5 linked regions of the Cricetulus griseus genome follow. The protein of the gene in region 5 interacts with the protein of the main gene of each other region in a biochemical or structural test. Links are inferred from orthologs where the notes say so. Each region holds a gene or a part of one and is shown on either strand. Other genes may lie near its edges.

Region 1 (3,169 bases), about 99 Mb from region 5:
AGGGTGTTGAGACTTCCAGAGACACGAATCACCTTGGGGCCTTGATGACTGCGCCTTTCCTCCTCAGTAGTTAGGGCTTCATCTCTTTAGAAAAAGTCAGTGCCAATCTCGAATGTAACCAATGCCACTAATATTAAACCAGCTCTCAATGTGGTTGTTTTGGTGGAATTGGGGAAAATATAAATAAACCCAAAGCCCTTTTAAACCTGAATTCTGAGTCTGGGACTTCTCTGTTGAAATACTTTCTAATTGCCTCATGTTCTCAGAATGCATCCCAGGAAGCACCGAGCAAAGAGAAAACTGCCTCAATTCCTACAGCCTGCCTGTTTTCAGTTAACAGAACCTACTTGTATTACAGTCTTGCCCATCCCCACTGCTCTAAGGGAACTTACAATTCCACTCCCACCTCCCAACACAACACATGCCAGGTACATGGCTCTACCACGGAGCTATAGAACCCCAACCCCGGGCCTACAGCAATTCGAAATTAATCAAGACACTCCATCTTTTAAAAAAACAGAACAACCATTTAATAAAATTAGCCCATTGAAACTCCCCACTACCTAAGGTTCTAAACTTGGGATAGCTGCAAAATTCCAGTTCAGAAGCCAGTAGAGGCTCAGTCCAGATAGGGATTCACCGACTTGTGCTGGTATCTAGGTGTTTGGGTTGTGAATTGAGTCGCTGGGAAGAAAAGGGGATAGCTAGGCCCGGCTGCCAGTCTCCTGCGGCAAGAACACAGCTCTTCTGTCCACAGGCCTGTAAGCTTCTCCCAAACCCTTTCCAGGAGGCATCCTGGAGAAAACCAGCTCATATTACAGTGATTTTGTCCCGGCCACACCACACACCGGCCGATGAACGAAGATGGGGTAAACTGGTATGAGGCCAACGAAGGGGAAAACACAGGACCAAACAATATGATCCATTTCTCTTCACCAAAGCCTGGTAATCAAGTCACTTCTGGAAGGTCCAGGCGAGGGCTAAAGCACCAAGCTGAAGAAAGGACGCCCGGGTTGCAGCTGCAGAGTAACTCACCTTCAGGCCCACCTCAGCCGTACGTCACAGCAAAAGGCCGACACTTCTGGAAGGTGTCGCAACCTCTCCGCGCGGCCCATCGAGACGGAGACCGGCGAAGCTCCGCGATGGATAAGTACCGCGGCGCCTGACCCGGAGGCCGTGCAGGGAAGGGGAGGCAGAAACGCGCGATGGCAGAGAAAGGGGAAGAGAATGGGAACGCGGCGGCCCGGCCCGCAGCCCTAAGTGGCTCAGCTCTTTCCGTGAGGGAGGTGGTGGCCCTTAAAAGGGCCTTTGTGGAGGTGTGGGGAGGGCTGGGCGGCCAGGGCGCGGGCTCCCTCAGTACTCCTGAGAGGCCTGGGTGGCCTTCTTGCCGCTCGCCGGCGCCTTGGGCCCCACGGTGGCGCTCGTCTTCTTGGGCAGCAGCACGGCCTGGATGTTGGGCAGGACGCCGCCCTGAGCGATCGTCACGCCGCCCAGAAGCTTGTTGAGCTCCTCGTCGTTGCGGATGGCCAGCTGCAGGTGGCGCGGGATGATGCGCGTCTTCTTGTTGTCCCGCGCCGCGTTGCCCGCCAGCTCCAGAATCTCAGCGGTGAGGTACTCGAGCACGGCCGCCAAGTACACCGGGGCGCCGGCTCCCACGCGCTCGGCATAGTGGCCTTTCCTCAGCAGCCGATGCACGCGGCCTACCGGGAATTGTAGACCGGCGCGCGAGGAGCGCGATTTCGCCTTGGCGCGGGCCTTGCCTCCGGTTTTACCGCGACCCGACATCGTATACGAGGTAGAAAGCAGAGAGCAACACCGACGACGAAAGAAAACTGCCAACCGCCGCAGTCAACTGTCGCCGCGCGCGGGCGAGCTCGCCCTTATAAACTCCATGGACACGCCCCCGCCTCCCCCTGATTGGCTCTTTTCCCCAGTACCGGCCTCTGGTTGGTTGGAATTAACCCTTCGGTGACGCGCCTAGGCGAAAAGAGCTCGCCCAGCGATTGGTCCAATTTGAAAACCTTTTACCCGGGGAAGAAAGCAAGGCGGAGTGGCCGCAAACAGCAGGCTAATCATCCATGGAAGTGGCCAATCCTTATTAAGCGCGCGAAATTTAAACGCTATTGCGCGCCACCAGAACCGGAAGACTAGGAAGGTGGAGTCTGGAGGCGCATGACTGTCTCTGGGAAATCTGGGCCGGCCAAGGGTTTTAAAGTAAAAGGGTTAGCCGAGCGATAGTGGTGCACACCTTTAATTCAAGCACTCAGGAAGCGGAGGAAGGGGGAGCTCTGAGTTCAAGCTTAGCCTGGTAACAAAGCGAGTTCCAGGACAGCCAGGGTTACAAGGGGAAACCCTGTTTCGAAAAACATTTTAACAAAAGTTAAAAAGGGAAAGAGTTCTCCTTCCAGGTCAGGGGCACTCCCACGCCCTCCTCAAATTTGGCAAAGGGAGGGTTTAAAGGAGAAGAAATGAAACCTGAGAGTACAATCCTATGCCAGAAAACTGAGTGCTGTGATCCTTTGTGCTACGACAAGTTAGTATTTTAATATTTATTCAACATGTTCTGTCTGGTTTCAGTTCTGTCACTTCTTGCAGGAAGGGGTCTGATGGAACAGAGGTAGGTATTCTCTTGGAAAGGGTACCCACCCCAACCCTTCCAATCGATCCTAAAATGCCCATACGAAAGATAAATAGGGGATAGATGTATAGATTTATTCAGTGGTAGAGCACTTAACAAAGTTCAGTCCTCAGGCCGGATGTTGGTTGCACAAGCCTTGTATCCCAGCACTGGGAGACAGAGGCAGGTGGATCTCTGTGAGTTCGAGGCCAGCCTGGTCTCCAGAGCGAGTGCCAGGATAGGCTCCAAAGCTATACAGAGAAACCCTGTCTCGAAAAACCAAAAAAAAAAAAAAAAAAAAAAAAAAGAGTTCAGTCCTCAAGTATCTCAAAGGCTAGAAAAAGAGGTTGAGGGAGAGAAGCAAGTAAAAGACAATCCTTTATTGTCACCATTTTGAGCACATGGCCCTGCCTCTGATCTTCCTAATCAGAACACTTAATTTTAAAGTCAAATGTGAGGTTACCTTGGAGTATAGGGCCCTAACTCTAGCACATAGCCCAGGTTCTCTCTCAAGGTCCAGCAAATGCAGGGCTCTGAAAGTTGAGCTGTATT
Region 2 (3,998 bases), on a different chromosome or scaffold from region 5:
CACGCATGGCCCACACAGCAGGAGCCTGCAACTCCCAGGCCACAGAGCTCTTCCTTGTCCTAGACAACTCAGATTCCTGACCCTTTCTTAGAGGGAAGATCTATAAAAAGCACCTGGATTCAGGTAGTGCCCTAGGGCAGCTCGTACCTTTAATGTAGATGCGGAAGATGTCATCTTTCACATAGGACATGGCCATTGTCAGTTCCTCATCACTGGAAAAGGCAACCAAGTCCCCATCCTCATCTACATTGTTAAAAGACAATATATCAGAGCCAGCCAGGGACACAGCTCAGGGATGAAACACTAGCATGCAAGTCTTAGACTCCATTCCCAGTACTAGAAGGAAAATAAAGGCAGCAGAGGCATCCAGACCTCTATGCTGGGTACACACTGCTACAATGTACAAAGCCCACTGCTAAAGGAATGTTTTCAGAGACTCTAGACTCAGCCTGGATACTGGGGCACAAAGCAGTATGGCCATTCACTCTGACACAAACTGGATGAATACATGCTCCAAGCTAGGTCCTAGATTACAGTTGTACACAGAAGGCTGAGCACATCTGTATGGGGGTGCCCATCCTCCGCCAAAACAGGAGTGTTGATCTCTAGGAGCCGTAATTACAAGTAGTTGTGAGGTGTCAAGTATGAGTGCTGGGAACAGAACTTGGGTCCTCTGGAAGAGCAGCAAGTGCTTTAACCATTGAGACATCTCAGCGGGGCATTGGTGGCACATGCCTTTAATCCCAGCACTCGGGAGGCAGAGGCAGGTGGTGGATCCCTGTAAGTTCAAGGCCAGCCTGGTCTACAGAGAAAGTTCCAGGACAGCCTCTCCAGAAAATTCAGAGAAACCCAGTCTCAAAAAAACAAAACAAAACAAAACAAAACAAAAAGAACCATTGAGACATTTCTCAAACCCCTCTGGGATTTACAGCCAAGCATGTATGTTTATAAGTTAATACAAATAGTCTTCAAGCACCTCATCACACATCTGCAGGCTGGGCTAAGCCTGTGGGCAACCACTCAGCCAGCAATAGCTACCATATATGAGAGAGGAGACCTCAAAAGTTACCAACAGCCCAGTGCCCACCAACTAAAGACCAGATAAACAAAACATGACATATCCAAACAAATTATTCTTCATCCACCAAAAGAAACGAAGTACCACCCAGGGATGAAGCAAAGAAGTGGAGTCCTTGGCTAGCAAACAAAGCCCTGGGTTCAGGCCCCAGTACTGGATGGGGGGGTGGGGATACTGGTGAGAGCTACAATACAAATGGTGGGCCTCCGACATATTAATAAGTGAATGAACAAATCTACCTTGTTAAGACTCCATTTTATACCAGGCAGTGGTGGTGCACACCTTTAGTCCTCAGACTCAGGAGGCAGAGGCAGGTGGATCTCTGTAAGTTCAAAGCCAGTCTGGTCTACAGAACGAGTTCCAGGACAGTCAGGGTTATACAGAAAAACCCTATCTTGAAAAACCAAAATAAATAAAGATAAAAATTTATAAAACAAGAGATTCTAAATTGAACATGATAGTGATTACATAATTCAGTTAGAAAAAATACAAGGATCTGGGGAGGGAATTCAGTTAATAGAGTGCTGGCCTGGCAGGCATGAGGCCCTGGACTGGATCCCTAGCAAAATATAAAGCAGAGAGGACTCTGAAGGACACTTTAGGGATACAGGCCAGCCCAGACACACAGTGAGACCCGTCTCTGCTAATACAAAACAGCAATCTTTTTTTGTTTGTTTTGTTTTTCAAGACGGTTTCTCTGTAGCTTTGGAGGCTGCCCTAGAACTCACTCTGTAGACCAGGCTGGCCTCAAACTCAGAGATCCGCCTGTCTCTGCCTCCCCGGTGTTGGGATTAAAGGCATACGCCACCAGCTCCTGGCCTCTACACACTTTTACCGGGTGAATTACATAATAACTCAATACACGGAAAATTTTCTGGCCCGGAGTGGTGATGAACACCTGTGATCCCTGTACTGGGAAACAAGACAAGAGGATTAAAGTTGAGTGAGGCCACCCTAAACCACTTGGGAGTTCAAGGCCAATCAGGCTACGTGGCTTTACCTTAAAAAAAAAAAAAAAAAAAAAAAAAAAGACTGACGGACTAACAGTCCTCCACAAGATCATCCCATAGGGAGGGCCTTGGCCACGTCTCTCTTGTCAACAATTTCTAGCCCCACCCCATGCAGTCTCCAGCCACTCCAACGCCGAGACTGAGCTAGTTCCGGGGTCCCCGACCTCCCCTCCCACAGACCGCTCCACCCCGCCCCCGTCGCTTGTTTACCCGCGTCACTGCTCTCCACCCCTCCTCCACGTCTGTCAGTCCCTGTTTTTTCCGGGGCTTTAACTGAACCCACCACTCGGCATTACTGCCAACAAGCGACCGGCAGGATGTCAGCCGTCACCTGAGCGGCCGCCTGACCACCCAGTCCCCGCGGGGAGGCAGAGGACGCCCTGCCACGTCCTCGTCCAGACCTGCCACACCGTGGCGGAGGACCCCGGCTTCCCCACCCCGGCGGCCCCGGCACAGGCCCCTCACCGCGGTAGTGCGCCTGGAAGCCCCCAGGCCGCAGGGCGGGGAACAGCGAGGCCACCCGACACAGCAGCCTCTCGCACGGCCCAGGACCCGCCGCGGCCTCGGCCTCCGCCTCCGGCTCCGGGCTAAAGCAGAAGCTGAAGCGGCGGATCTCTCGGGCCGCCTCCTCCTTGCCCAGAAGATAGGCCTTCACGGTGAGCGACGCCATAACTGCAGACTAGGTACGGGGAAACAGCTGGGCAGCTGCTGCGGCTGAGGCGAGCCCAGCGTTTATAAAAAGAAACGGAGCCCCGCCTCATATGGGCGGGGCCTCTCTGCGCCCCGCCCCTCCCAGCTGGTTAGTCTGCGGCACGCGAGCCCCCCTGACAGGGTCCCTATCAGGTATAGGAGGGGCGCTCTTACTGCCAACTCCTTTTTCTCCCTTCCAAGACAAGGGTGACCCCCAAGAGACCAGCCTCAGCCTCCACTTGTTGAGGAAAAGTCTGGTAAGGGTCCTAGCCTAGGCGCGTCCCAGGCTTGGGCCTGCCTATGACTCAGCAGTGTAGTCCCCAAGCTGAGGGGGGATGCCCAGCACAGAAACGAGAAGGACTCAGATGCTTACTGTCAGGAGGCCAAACAAGCTGGTTCAAAGGATGTTGTTCCGACCCTCTCAAGCTTAGTGTCCCGGGTAGTAGCGCCCCTCCCCTACCCCCCTTACCCCTACATCCACCATGACCAGCCCTTAACTGGATAAAGGCACATCACCCCCCATCTTAGGCCTGACCCAATTTAACAAGGATCAGGTTGGGAGGTATTGGACAAGCACTGGAGCGACTTCCCACAAACCCACCCTGTAGGAGGGTAGCCAGGACTCCTGAAGCATCAATGGTGACCACCCGTGTCCCCTCCCCCCCCACTCACATACTGGGGCTCTAATCAGGGGGTGGGGTGGGCATATCTCAGGCCTTATTGGCCTCATAGACAGCCAAAGGTGTTAGACCACCTGCACTCCAGCTAGAAATCAAAATGTGAGCCTTAGCCAGTCCTGTGCCATGGGCTTGTAATCCCAGCTGTTTGAGGTGTTGAGGCAGGAAGATACCAAGTTCAAGGTCTGCCTGAGCAAATTGGTGAAATGCTCTCCAAATAGAAAGTGATCCTAGCACTTGGGAGGTAGAGCCAACAGGAGTTCAAAGCCAGCCTTGGCTATATGAGGCCGCTTCTCAATAAAGTAAAATAAAAGGCTGGGTTTGGAGTTGAGTAAAGATACAATTCATGGGGATTTAGCTTAGTAGGGATACACCTCAGAGGGATTAGTGCATAAGGACATAGCTCGGTGCCTAATAGTGCTTTTAAATTCTCCCCTCAGTACCAAAGCCAAAACCAGGAGGTGCTTTGTGTGGCAAAAGTGACCTGTTAGCTGGGCATGATGACACACATCTGTAACCCCAGCCCTTGGAAAGCTGAGTCAG
Region 3 (4,053 bases), on a different chromosome or scaffold from region 5:
GCTTGAGTTCCATCCCTGCAACCCATGTACAGGTGGAGAGAGGGAGAGCCCACTCCACAGGTTGTCATCTGATTTCCACAAAGTCTTCATGGCATGTGCACCTGCAACCACCCACACAATAATTTTTCTTATTTAAAGAGTTAAACATTAAGTACTGTAAATATGAAAGATTTAGATCATTATGGTCTCCAAGCAGCTAAGTGATGTACACAGGGATTGTCGACCTGCTAACTGCACGTCTAAGTGACTGGCATCAGGACAGGACCGTGTGTACGTACAGTCCTACTTTTTCTTTTTTAAGCCCGGCATTTGTAATTGATTACATGAACCATCTGTGGCTGCTTGTGAATCATGTTACAGTTACCCCACTGACATTTACCCAACATTTTTCATGTGGCAAAATGTTTAGTGTCGGAAAGCTGACACATAATAGCTTTGATGATTCAATAAATCAACTTTAGACACCAGGCTATAGGCGCATCCCCATTGATGTGGAGTCTCTCTCGGCAAAATTATGGCTGATGATTTCATTATAATAACGCTTCATCCTGAGCTTCCTGTGTGTAGACAAAATTATTTGTTATCACCAAGGTAACTTGACCCCCACGGTTGTTACGAGACAGGATGGGAGGGTGAGGGGGGCGGTCAAAAGAGGTGAGGACCGGAGCGGAGGAAGATGAAAAACAACCTCCGGCGGGGGTAAGAGACGGTCTCTCAGGGAAGTGCTTCAGCAAGTGCGGGCCGAGCCGAGCTCCTCTCACTGGAGGCCTTCGCGCCACCTGTCACAAAGGAGGGGCCCGCGGGGAACCGAGGTCTGCGGGGAGGGGGGGGGGACGGCCAGGCCGACCGGAGGACGCTGCGAGGCCCAGGCTGGACCGGGAGGCGAGCTCACGTGGTCTCCCGCACACCGCGGGAGGACGCCCGCGCGCCCGTCCCCAGCCTCTCAGCCCCGCCCTCCAGGCACGTGACCCCGCGTCCGCTCTCGCGCTCGCCCGCGCTCCCTCCTCGGTGGCGCAGGGCTCTGTGTCTGCCCTCCCGCCGCGGCGCCCTTCCCCTCCCGGTCCCGTCCCGCCGCCTCCCCCACTCTTCCCCCTCCCCACCCCTCGCGCGCCAATCACGGCTCGAGCTCGCGAGCGCCCGCCCCACCACCCTGCTTCGCGCCCTCCCATTGGCCGGAGCCTCAAGGACGCGTCCCGAAGGCGGGCGGCGACCATTGGTGGGCCGAGCCAGCCGAGTTCCCGGATGAGGGAACATTCTGCGGTATAAAGGGCGCGAGGAAGGCGGGAGACGGCGCAGTTTGAATCGCGGTACGACGGAGGAGTGGGCGCCGGGATCTCGCTGTGCGTCCGCCTGGCCTCGTCTCTTGCTCGCTTGTGCGATCTTCAGCACGGTCCGAGATGGTAACGTGAGAGTGACGGCGGGCCGCCGGGCGGGGGGCGGCGGCGGCCGCGAGCTGCGGGCTTGGAGCGGGCGGGGCCGCCGTCGCCGGGGCTTGGGCGAGGCGGCGGCGGCGGGCGGGAGCGTGCGGAGACGGGTCGGGGACGAGCGGAGGGAGGTGTTTGGTTGAGCTCGGAGCTCCGGGAGGGAGGCGACGGTTGGAGGGGGGCGCGCGCGGCGCAGCTGGGAGCCGGCGCGGGGCGCGCGCGGGGCGCGCGGCGGGGGTCGGCGGGCGGGCGGGGAGAGAGGGCGGGGGCGAGCGGCGGCCCGGAGACCCCGGCGGGCCGCGAGCGCGCGCCCGCCGCCCGCCCGCCCGCCTGCTCGCTCGCCCGCCTCCGGGACGCGCGGCCGTGGGGGAGGGGCGCGCCGCTCCGCGCCGCCTTGGTAATTCTATCCTCTCCGTCCCTCCCGGGCTCGCGGGCGTCGGCGGCGCCGCAGGCTGGCGGTAAGGCTGGAAAGGACTCCGGAAAGGCCAAGACAAAGGCGGTTTCCCGCTCGCAGAGAGCCGGCTTGCAGGTAGGCAGCTGCTGCCGCAGACGCAGCCCGGGTGACCCGGCCTTTATCTTTGCACCCCCTGGCTTGTTTGTCGGCGCCTCGCATGGGTGTTCCATCTTTTGCGTGGGTGATGTGTCGCGACTTGGCCTTCGGAGACTGAATGTTGGGGCGGCGGGGGCTGGTGGGGGGGGCGTCGATCGCGTGTGCTAACTGCCCGGGCGCCTTGGTGCACCACCGTCCTTGGCTTTGGCGCGCGCGCGCATCATCTTTCCATCTCTGAATCTCCTCTATCTTTGTGCATTTTTGTTTGTGTGCATAAAAAAAAATCAAGTTCCCTGTGGGCCGTATTCATCGACACCTGAAATCTAGGACAACCAGCCACGGCCGTGTGGGCGCGACCGCCGCTGTGTATAGCGCAGCCATCCTGGAGTACCTCACCGCAGAGGTAAGCGGGAGTGAGTATGCCTGTGATCTGGAAAAGGTTTGGGGGGCGGGGGGGGGAAAGTGGGCGAGAGGGAAGGAGGAAAGTGATGCAAGAAAACTCCCAGGCCCTAAGCGCGGCGCTTAGGCAGAGAGAGGGCGCTAGAGGGAGCTAGTGTTCAGCCAAGGATCCCGCTGAGCCAGAGTTTGCTGCTGTTGCAAAAGCAATTGCGTGCCCCTTCAGTCCTTTGCATCATTTGCATAGTTTTGTCATTCAGGTAGTGGGGGGATGACGACAGTTGGTGGGTTAAACACCACTGACGTTTAGCCAGCTTCCTGGATCTTGACTGAAGGGAATTGGAAAATTGATCAGAATTTTGCCTTTTAGGTACTAGAATTGGCAGGAAATGCATCAAAAGACTTAAAGGTAAAGCGTATTACCCCTCGTCACTTGCAACTTGCTATTCGCGGGGATGAAGAATTGGACTCTCTGATCAAGGCTACAATTGCTGGTGGTGGTATGTTATCACTGACACTCGGTTACTTTCCAATAAGAAAATTCCTACATTTTCATTGCTTCCAGAAGAGGGCATTTAAATATATTTTATAAATCATGGTGGTTTATGGAATTTGGTTTACACAACATCATTCATCATTTTACTTTATGTTTGAATTTTTTTTTAAGACCTTTCAAGTTGTAGATTTACCTGCTTTGATTTCATGTACTGTTTCAAAATGTTTCTACAAAAAGTAGAATTAATCCTTGTCACTTTCCTAGGTGTCATCCCACACATCCACAAATCTCTGATTGGAAAGAAAGGACAACAGAAGACTGTCTAAGGATGCCTGGATTCCTTATTATCTCAGGACTCTAAATATTCTTAACAGCTGTCCAGTGTCGGTGATTCCAGTGGACTGTATCTCTGTGAAAAACACAATTTTGCCTTTTTGTAATTCTATTTGAGCAAGTTGGAGGCTTAATTAGCCTTCCAGCCAACCAAATTTCTGCATTCGAGTCTTAACCATATTTAAGTGTTACTGTGGCTTCAAAGAAGCTATTGATTCTGAAGTAGTGGGTTTTGATTGAGTTGACTGTTTTTAAAAAACTGTTTGGATTTTAATTGTGATGCAGAAGTTATAGTAACAAACATTTGGTTTTGTACAGACATTATTTCCACTCTGGTGGATAAGCTCAATAAAGGTCATATCCCAAACTAGTTTTAAACTTGCTTGATGATTACTACTAGATCTCATTCAGCTCCCCTACCTTCTTTGCTTACTAATCAAACACTTCATCTGTAGACCAACAAGTCATAACCAATTTGTCATAATGAACTAGGCATGCTGTTGGACATTCACAGTAACTGTGAAAGGCACTGTATCACAATTTGGGACAGCTGGACCGGTAGAGACCCCCAGGTATAACATAATAACCTCCACAGAATGAACTTAAGATGTAGAAGTTAAATCATTCTCAGTGACCAGACACTGTTGTCAACTGTGAAATGCTAGTCACAGGGGATGCGTGCTATTTTCATAGACTAGGGTAACATGATGAAAACATTGATACATATCAGGCATGTTCCTTAAGAGCTTGAGAAAACGCATCTGCCCCTTTCACCCTACCGAGACAACATGCGTGCTCCTTTCTGAGGCAAAAATTGGTAACAGGAGGTGGTATGCATGCAACCTCTGCAGATG
Region 4 (4,227 bases), on a different chromosome or scaffold from region 5:
CTAGTCACATAGACCCCAGTATTGTATTAACCTGTTTGAAACAAAGTCTCATATATTCTAGACAGGCCTCAACCCCCTAAGCAGCCAGGGATGATAAACTTCTAAACCCTCCTTCCTCTATTACATTAGAATCATAAGTATAAAACACCATGACAGACAAGTGTGGTGGCACACATCTTTAATCCCAGCACTCGGGAGGCAGAGGCAGGTGGGTCTCTGTCAGTTCCAGGCCAGCCTGGTCTACAGACGAGTGCCAGGACAGGCTCCAAAGAGAAACCCTGTCTTGGGGGGAAAAAAAAAAGTAACACTTAAATACAATACCAAAACTGGTTTGTGTGCAGTATTAAGGGTAGAACTCAGAAAGCTTGCAAGCACCATATCTGAGCACTCTCTGGCCCAAAAGTTACTTTTCAAAATAAATTTTAATGTAAATACGTTTTCTGCTTGAGGTGTTGCTTGGTGGTAAAGCATTTGCAGAGCACATACAAAGTCCTAGCTAGTTTCAATTCAATCCCTAACAGTAGAAAAAGCATATTTTTAACTGATTATAGAACCTACATAATATAAAAATGGATCTAAAAATTATTCTAGGGGGTGTCAGTGGCACACACCTTTAATCCCAGCACTGGGGAGGAAGAGGCAGGAGGATCTCTGGGAGTTCCAGGCCAGCCTGGTCTACAGAGTGAGTTCCAGTACAACCTCCAAAGCTACACAGAGAAACCCTGCTTCGAAAACAAACAAAAAAATTATTCTAATCTCTTAACCTGCCCTATTGATGGGGGAAAAAAAAAAAATCCTTTAAAGCTATAAGTACTGAAGTCAATTAATATTACATAAATTAGAGGTGGGTGCAATAAAATACTGTAAAGATTGTATGTCTCAGCACGAGTTTACCACTACCTTGTTTTAAAATAGCAAAATGGCAACACTGAATATATGCTTAAGCATTGTGTACCAAATGAATTAAACAAGCTCCTCAACATCCTACTTTAAACCATTTCTGTAAATTTATAGCCAATATTCCACAGAATTTATTTTCCCAATCAAGACTTTTGTATTACTGCAGAATATTAATCTTCACAATCAAGCAAAAATCAAAAAAAAAAAAAAAAACTACACCAACTGTTAGGTTCAGTGTGAATTTTAGAGAATTATATTCATTATCAATCTGTGGTATGTTTAGTCCCTAACCAAACAATAAAAACCCGGTGGTCTGGTGGGAAGCAATCATTTTTCAAATGGAATCCTGATTAACATGATCACTAGTGTTCATGTCTCTGTATCAGAATTAAACGAGTCAGGACTTTCCAACGCACGACCTAACAATTAAAATCTACTTTGAAAGAATCTGAGATTCATAATATAGCAGTAAAAGTTTATGTCAAGACTACAGTGCTCGTTGACAATTTATTCTTTCTTCCTAAGAATGTCTTATAAATGGTCTTGTTTTCTAATTTAAGCACCTTTCTGTCATACACCCAACCTCACACCCATTTGTGACTGCCCGAGGGACTAGACAGTGCATCACATCCTTCAAAGGGGCCCTCGATATAATTAGTACAAATCTCGCCCAAAACTTCAGAAGAGTGAACAGTGCTGTAAATTCAAGCTCACTAGATTACAGCAAGCAAAACGAAGCTTCAATATGGGCATATCACTGGCATGGTGAGCAGTGTAGGGTTTTTTTTTTTTTAACTAAATATCCTTCATAAAAACAGATGCCTATCGTGTCTGAAGTCTCAACGCTGTTATGTAAAGACTTCAGAAAATCAAGATACGAGTTTTTTCATGGTTCCATACGTACTCACCAAAACACAGTATTCCTAAAGAGCCTCGAGACCGCTTAGTATACGGAAGGCGCACGAAAACAGAGGCGAACTATTACAGATCATCCCCATAACCGAGATGCTTTGGGCTGAACCAGTGCCTCGGAACAGAAAACAGTTGGCCAAAAAAATAAAGAAAGAAAAGAAAAAAGAGTTTGCCAACCGGAGTAAAATCACTTCGCGGAGATAACCGGCAGCAACGCGGGGAAGCGAACACGGCGGGCAGGACACCCACCCGGGCGCCAAGCCCCCGGCGCCGCCGACCGCGGGCAGCCAGGACGAACATGTGCGGTCGGCGGCTGGACTCGCGGCCCGCGGCCCCGCCCGGTTCTCGGGGCCGGTTCATTCATTCTGCACCCGAGACCGCCGACCAGGAGAAGGGGGCTCCGGGGCGAAGCGGCCAGCCCAGGCCACAACCCACGCCCGGAGTCCAGGCCACGCCGCGATTCCCGCCCGCGGGTGAAGAAAGCCTGGCGAGGCCCGCGCCGGTCCCGCGCCAGACGCCAAGCCCGCAGCCCCGCCCTCCACCCGGCACCGGCACCGGCCTGGCCTCCCGTGCCGCGCGCGGCCTCGCAGCCCGAGAGCCCCCGGCGTCCGGCTTTCAGCGGCGGCCGGAAGTCTCCTCGGCGCCCCCTCCTCAGCGCCCGACTTCCCCGCCGCCGAGGCCAGACCCTTCTCCGCGATGCCTCGGGCCCCTCAGCGGCTGCCGAGTGAAGCGTATGGCCGCGCGGCCCGGCGCGTTGGTGGAGGAGAGCCGAGCGGGAGGCCCGAAGCCCGCCTGGGCGGTTACCTTAATGATCCTGCGGGGCAGCCCGGCCATCTTGTCAGATCCCGAGTTCGGCCTCTGCTCTTGTCTCCGGCTCCGCTCGCCTCACGCACGAGTGGAAGTCCCGGACTCCACTTCCGGGGGACGTCGCCGCGCCCGCCGCCGCTGCCTCCGCCGAGGCCCCTCGGGAAATGTAGTCCCTGCTTGGACGCGGGCTTCGGGCGGCCTTCCGTCCGACCTGATGGCCCCCTCCCCCGCACTCCCCGCCCCAACCCCAGCCGGGGGTGGCGGAAGTGACGCTCCGCGGCGGGGCAGGGACTTGGGGGAGGCGGCGCCAGGCAGCGCCGAGCTGCTTCGCCCGCGGCAGAATCTGCGCGAGACTGGGTGTCCGGCGTCCACGAGTAGCGTACGTGCGACCGACCACGCCTGCGCCGGTGGGCGACGTAACAAAGGCCCGGCCCCCGGCGTAGCTCATTCATTCATTCGTTCCATTTGTTCATTCAATGTTCCCGCATTGCGCGGCGGGCTGACGCTGCGCCGCATCTCCGTCGACCTGGTGATCGGGGGGCTTGTTCCAAACGAGAAGCACTCGATGGCAAAGCTTCTAACTGGGAAACTGGTTGTCAAGGCCCTGACAAATAATTCTAAATGTTTTAATTTCACATAAAAAAAAAAGGGGGGGGGCCTCGCCTGGCGGTGTGGCGCACGCCTTTAATCCCAGCACTTAGGAGGCGGAGGCGGGAGGATCTCTGAGTTCGAGGTCAGCCTGGTCTAAAAAGCAAGTTGCAGGACAGGCTCCAAAGTTACACAGAGAAGCCCTGTCTTGATAAGCAAACAATCAACAAAAAAAGGGAGGGGGGCTCTCCGACCTGTCCCCCACCCCAAAAGGATTTGCAACAAGTAGGGGAGTAATCCCTAAAGGAGTAGGAGTACCTTCAGAGTGAAGGCCCTAAAAGTGGAGGGGTCCCAAAAGGGATTGTTGGGTGTTTTCATTTCTTTTCCTGTTGCTGTGATAAAATATCCTGTAGCACGAATAATAGTTGATATTGATAATAAAAACTCAGAGACAGATATTGAGGTTAAGGCTGAAGATCAGAAAAACAAAGTGGCCAGCCACTAGAGAGTTCTCACCTCTACCAAAGCTCAGAAGGAAGGGGAGATCCTTGTCCTCAGACTGCATTGCTCTCCACCAACCTCTAAATCCAAGCTTTCCTGTCTCCTTCTGCCTTATGATTCCTCTCTCTCCACCTCCCTACAGGTTTTCCTAGGGTGGTGGTGAACGCAGATCCATCTGCCTCTGTCTTCTGGGATTAAAGGTGTGTGCCACCAACTGTCTGGCCTGAATGGCTGTGGCTAGCTTTGCACTCTGATCTTCAAGCAAGCTTTATTAGATCATAAAATATCACCACAATACTCCACAAGGCAACTTAAAGGAAAAGGGGTTAATTTCAGTTCAAAGGGGATAATCACCATAGTTAAGGACAGCTGGTCACATCGAATTTTTCATGCTAGTGCTTACCTCTCTGTTTATACAGCCCAGGTGACAACCACAATTAAGATGGGTGTCCATACATCAATTAAGTCCCCCACAGGCATGCCCAGAGGCTTTTTTCCCTAGGTGTTTCTAGATTCTAT
Region 5 (4,129 bases):
CCTGTGAGTTTTATGTTCAGCACAGGCATGCAAGCACCAATGGAGACCAGAAGAGGGCAGGACCTCAGATCCTCAGCAGCTGGAGTTATAAGGAGGTGCCTGGTGAGGGTGCTGGGAATTGAACCCAGTCCCCTCTGTGAGAAGTGCTGTTAATTGATGAGCCATTTCTTAGCCCCATTTTCAGACTCTTTTGACATAGCGTAGGCTGGTCCCAAACTTGCAGCAGACCTCTTTCTTGCCCCAGCCTTCCAAGTGTTAGAATTACAAATGTTTGCTGTCTGTTTTCTTATTATCTATAATTTACAAATATTTTTCTTCTATTTTGTGGGCTGCCTTTTGCTCTCTTGATATCTTGGCTATTTTTATTTATCAAGTGAACTTTAAAAAAAAAATAAGAAATTTGGGCTAAAGAGGTGGCTCAGTGGCTAAGAACACTAGCTGGTCTTCCAGAGGTCCTGAGTTCAATTTCCAGCAACCACATGATGGCTCACAACCATCTGTAATGTGATCTGGTGTCCTCTTCCGTCCTGCAGGGATATATGCAGACAGAACACTGTATACATAATAAATAAATAAATCTTAAAAAAAAAAAAAGAATAAGAAGAAATTTCTGATTGCAACTGTCCTAACTGTAGTTCTGGGGGATCTGATGCCTCTCTTGATCTCCAAGGGTTCCTGCATGCACATAATGCTTGCTCTCTCTGGTTGGCTTTGAACTTTGGAGATCCACCTACCTCTGCCTCCCCAGTGCTGGGAATAAAGGTGTGTGCCATTTTAAGACAAAGTCTCTGTTGTAGTTCTGGAGCTCAAATAAAGAGAGGAGGCTGACCTTCAACTTAGAGATCCGACTTCTGGACTCTCCCTCCCATGTGATTGGATTAAAGGCATGCAGGACTACACCCTGCTTTAAGCAGTATTTTAAATAGGCGACTATTACCATATGCATCTCTACAAAACTGGGGGTTTCTTGTTCAAGATTTGTTGCTTAAAATGATTAAGACGGGAAATTTTGTGGGGGTTTAGTTGTTTGACACAGTTTCTCTGTGTAGCCCTTGAGGTCTTGGAATTCTCTGTAAACTAGGCTGGCCTTGGACTCAGATCCACCTGCCCCTGCCTCTGAGTACTTTGATTAAAAGTGTGCACCACCACTCCCAGTCACCTCTGTGTGTGTGTGTGTGTGTGTGTGTGTGTGTTTTGAAACACATAAAGGGCAGGTACTCTACAGACCAACACCACATTCAGGCCCCAAAGGAAATACTGAATGGCTTGTAATACTGGTATAGTGTTAAAGACTAGGGATCAGTTTGTAGCTCTTTGCACCCCCAGAATGGAAGGGGTCAACCAAAAATGACTGAACTAGATGGAACTGGCAATTGGAATCTATTTTTGGCTTGCTGCATACTAAGGACGGAGCATAAAATGAAGGAAATTAATAAACAGGTCAGAGAAAGTAATGCAAAGCCAAAGAACTCTGGAATTTGACCACACAATTCTTTGAGAAGTTAGACAACTCTAAAGGGGCGATTCTTTTTTTTTTTTTTTGCAATTTTAAAAACTCAATTCACAGCTGGTGAACACAACTTGAGCATTATTACAGGTGATAAAAAAAATTTGCCTTTGCCTTTAACCGATATGGGGGCGGGGTTCACAAAACCACAAATCCCCAAGGTCAATTTAGACTAGTTAGTCCTCTTTTTCTTTTCTTTCTCCCCCCCCCGTCCCCCCCCCCGATAGGGTTTCTATGTGTAGCCCTGGCTGTCCTGGAACTAGCGCTATAGACCAGGCTGGCCTTGAACTCAAGAGATACGCCTGCCTCTGCCTCTGCCTCCCAAGGATTAAAAGCGTGCGCCACCACCTCCCTCCTCCCCCACACACCTTTTTTCTTTAAATAGAAAAGTGATGGATACCTCTCTAAACCATTTTGGGCTTTTTTTCTTTTTAACCCCAAAACCATGTTGAATTTTACTCACTGATTTCCCTTGATTCCTGCCCAGAGGCTCTAAGCTTGCACTCCTTTGCATAGTGTTTTTGAATAATCTCCCACAGGTCTCTATTGACAAGAGAATTTCTTCGGGTATGATACCGAGTCCACGAAGAGACCCGGCGGCGACAGAAGGGACAGCACAGGTTGGCCTTTTCAACAGTTGACTGAAAGCACGGGTTACAGAGCGTGTGGTTGCAGGGAAGGGTTACCGGCTCGACTAGGATTTCCATACAGATGCCGCACTGACACTCTGCTAAGGAAGGGATGGCCTCTTTGGATGCCGCCATCTCCAGACGCTCACGAGGCCTACTCAACGTCAAGAGCTCAAAGAAACCAGCCTTTCGGCTAACCACGGTACGAAGGAAGCCGGCGAGCGGTTTGGTATTTACTCTGACACACAGGCAGCGTACTGGAATCCAGACAGGCTGACCTTCCCGAGGCTCGAGGCAAACAGGCGAGCAGTTATGCCCTGCGTCCAGCAAGGGAATGAACGAACGTTCCTTCGAGAGCGCAGCCGGCTCGGGTCGGTGAGTGGTTCCGGCTCCCCGCGGGGCGGACAGTCGGCTCCAGCTCCCCTCCTCACCTCAGCGGGTGAGCACCCGCCTCTTCGGGCGAGGCCGCCGGGACTGCCGGGTCCCGAAGCGGGGACCGCCGCTCCGAGAGCACCTCGTACCGCCCGGAGGTCGGGCTCGGGCCGCCGCTAGGCTTCCGTCTCGCCGTTGAGGCGGAGGCAGTGCTACAGTCCCCGCGCTACAGCTCCTGGTCGCCTCGCGGAGGGTCCCGAGACCCAGCCGCTCAGATCCGCTGCGCCGCCGGCCCATTCATTGGCGGCGGCAGGAGCAGGTACACACGTCCACAGACGTCACAATTCCCCGCCAAAACGGCCCTCCTTACCCAAGCACCCTCTCGATTGGGCGGGGCTTCCGGGAGCTGCGCGCGCGCGCAGTCGAGCCCTATCTGCTTGTCGCAGCTCCACCAGTCTAAGGTGGTTTCATCCGTGTAGGCTGTGAAAATTTTGGTTAGTCACTGGCTCAAAAGTGAACTCGCTAAGCAAGATCCAAGCAGTAATATTGATAATTATTCTCTCAGTACTCTTAGAACTACATTTTGTATCTCCTAACCAAAGTTTCCAAAGTTCTTAGGGCCAAAAGAAAAAAAAATTGCAACAAATTCAGCTAAAAAAATTTTTGCTTTGCCGGGCGTCGGTGGCACACGCCTTTAATCCCAGCACTCGGGAGGCAGAGGCAGGCGGATTTTACGCTCTCTTTCTGCTCTTTCCGGCTCTCCTCTCTGCTTTTCCTGCTCTCTCTTAGGTGATGGCTCTTCTGCTCTTCCGTTCTCCTCTCTTTCTGCTTTTCTGCCCTCCCTCTGTGTCTCTTTACTTCTTTTCTCTTTCCTTCCCCTTCCCTGCCCCCTCCCTTCCTTTTCTAATGAAACTTCTCACTTAAGCTCTATCTACCTGGCATGTTTGTCCCCCGCCTTGGTCACCCTTGCCAGCCATGGAATCTGCCACGGTCCCCCACGCAGGACCCCCTTTCAGCTTTATCCTAGCATTTGAAACAAAAGAACAATAGTGGCACTCACCTTTAATCCCAACACTTCAGAGGCAGACGCAGGAGGATCTCTGAGTTAGAGGCCAACCTGGTCTACACAGTGGGTACCAGTACTACTCAAAGAGACCTTTTTAAAAAACGAAAGAAAGAAAAGTATTTTGAGAGAGGTGTGGTCACATGTGTTTTGTAATCCCAACCTTTAGGTGATAAAGGTAGAGACAGAAGCAAGGGGATCTAAAGCTGAAGTCCAACTCAGGCAACATAGAGTTCCAGGTCTAACAGACTCTGGCTCAGCTCCCCTGTAAATCTGTTAGAAGGCTGATCTCAATGGAAAGTTGAAAGTTTGAGACAGAGAATCCTCGGACCTGTGACAATTTGACATTTACACTTATTTCTAATGTCACAACCCTGATGCCTGCAGCCCTCTTCTTTAAAGACTTAAGGTCCACAGCTTGGCAGAAAGTATCCAGACTCTATCTGTTGTTGAGATAATCTTTTAGTACACTGGGTGAATATGAGTCTCCTGTCTTCCTCATCTGGATAAGGCACCTTCTGAGTGGTTTAACTAGCTCTTGTAGACCAGGCTGGTCTC

What was found.
Region 1: of the proteins of Rnf168 (region 5) and histone H2AX, one has a biochemical effect on the other in vitro, tested with the Homo sapiens proteins (2 studies listed by BioGRID). The link is inferred for Cricetulus griseus from reciprocal best matches to the Homo sapiens genes RNF168 and H2AX.
Region 2: the proteins of Rnf168 (region 5) and Sqstm1 form a complex in vitro, tested with the Homo sapiens proteins (2 studies listed by BioGRID). The link is inferred for Cricetulus griseus from reciprocal best matches to the Homo sapiens genes RNF168 and SQSTM1.
Region 3: of the proteins of Rnf168 (region 5) and histone H2A.Z, one has a biochemical effect on the other in vitro, tested with the Homo sapiens proteins (3 studies listed by BioGRID, with this or other methods). The link is inferred for Cricetulus griseus from reciprocal best matches to the Homo sapiens genes RNF168 and H2AZ1.
Region 4: the proteins of Rnf168 (region 5) and Ube2n form a complex in vitro, tested with the Homo sapiens proteins (2 studies listed by BioGRID). The link is inferred for Cricetulus griseus from reciprocal best matches to the Homo sapiens genes RNF168 and UBE2N.

What each region holds. Positions count from the first base shown.
Region 1 is NC_048597.1:156,021,600-156,024,768, reverse strand, and holds histone H2AX, read right to left. Parts: upstream 1,867-3,169; 5' UTR 1,786-1,866; coding exon 1,354-1,785; 3' UTR 511-1,353; downstream 1-510. UniProt on the Homo sapiens protein: Variant histone H2A which replaces conventional H2A in a subset of nucleosomes. Nucleosomes wrap and compact DNA into chromatin, limiting DNA accessibility to the cellular machineries which require DNA as a template.
Region 2 is NC_048600.1:64,667,248-64,671,245, forward strand, and holds the start of Sqstm1 (sequestosome-1), read right to left. Parts: upstream 2,807-3,998; 5' UTR 2,759-2,806; coding exon 2,554-2,758; intron 244-2,553; coding exon 148-243; intron 1-147. UniProt on the Homo sapiens protein: Molecular adapter required for selective macroautophagy (aggrephagy) by acting as a bridge between polyubiquitinated proteins and autophagosomes.
Region 3 is NW_023276806.1:21,775,357-21,779,409, reverse strand, and holds histone H2A.Z, read left to right. Parts: upstream 1-1,243; 5' UTR 1,244-1,397; coding exon 1,398-1,400; intron 1,401-1,875; coding exon 1,876-1,953; intron 1,954-2,263; coding exon 2,264-2,377; intron 2,378-2,740; coding exon 2,741-2,870; intron 2,871-3,130; coding exon 3,131-3,192; 3' UTR 3,193-3,570; downstream 3,571-4,053. UniProt on the Homo sapiens protein: Variant histone H2A which replaces conventional H2A in a subset of nucleosomes. Nucleosomes wrap and compact DNA into chromatin, limiting DNA accessibility to the cellular machineries which require DNA as a template.
Region 4 is NW_023276806.1:161,500,785-161,505,011, reverse strand, and holds the start of Ube2n (ubiquitin-conjugating enzyme E2 N), read right to left. Parts: upstream 2,805-4,227; 5' UTR 2,647-2,804; coding exon 2,617-2,646; intron 1-2,616. UniProt on the Homo sapiens protein: The UBE2V1-UBE2N and UBE2V2-UBE2N heterodimers catalyze the synthesis of non-canonical 'Lys-63'-linked polyubiquitin chains. This type of polyubiquitination does not lead to protein degradation by the proteasome.
Region 5 is NC_048597.1:57,245,458-57,249,586, forward strand, and holds the start of Rnf168 (E3 ubiquitin-protein ligase RNF168), read right to left. Parts: upstream 2,806-4,129; coding exon 2,658-2,805; intron 2,568-2,657; coding exon 1,971-2,567; intron 1-1,970. UniProt on the Homo sapiens protein: E3 ubiquitin-protein ligase required for accumulation of repair proteins to sites of DNA damage. Acts with UBE2N/UBC13 to amplify the RNF8-dependent histone ubiquitination.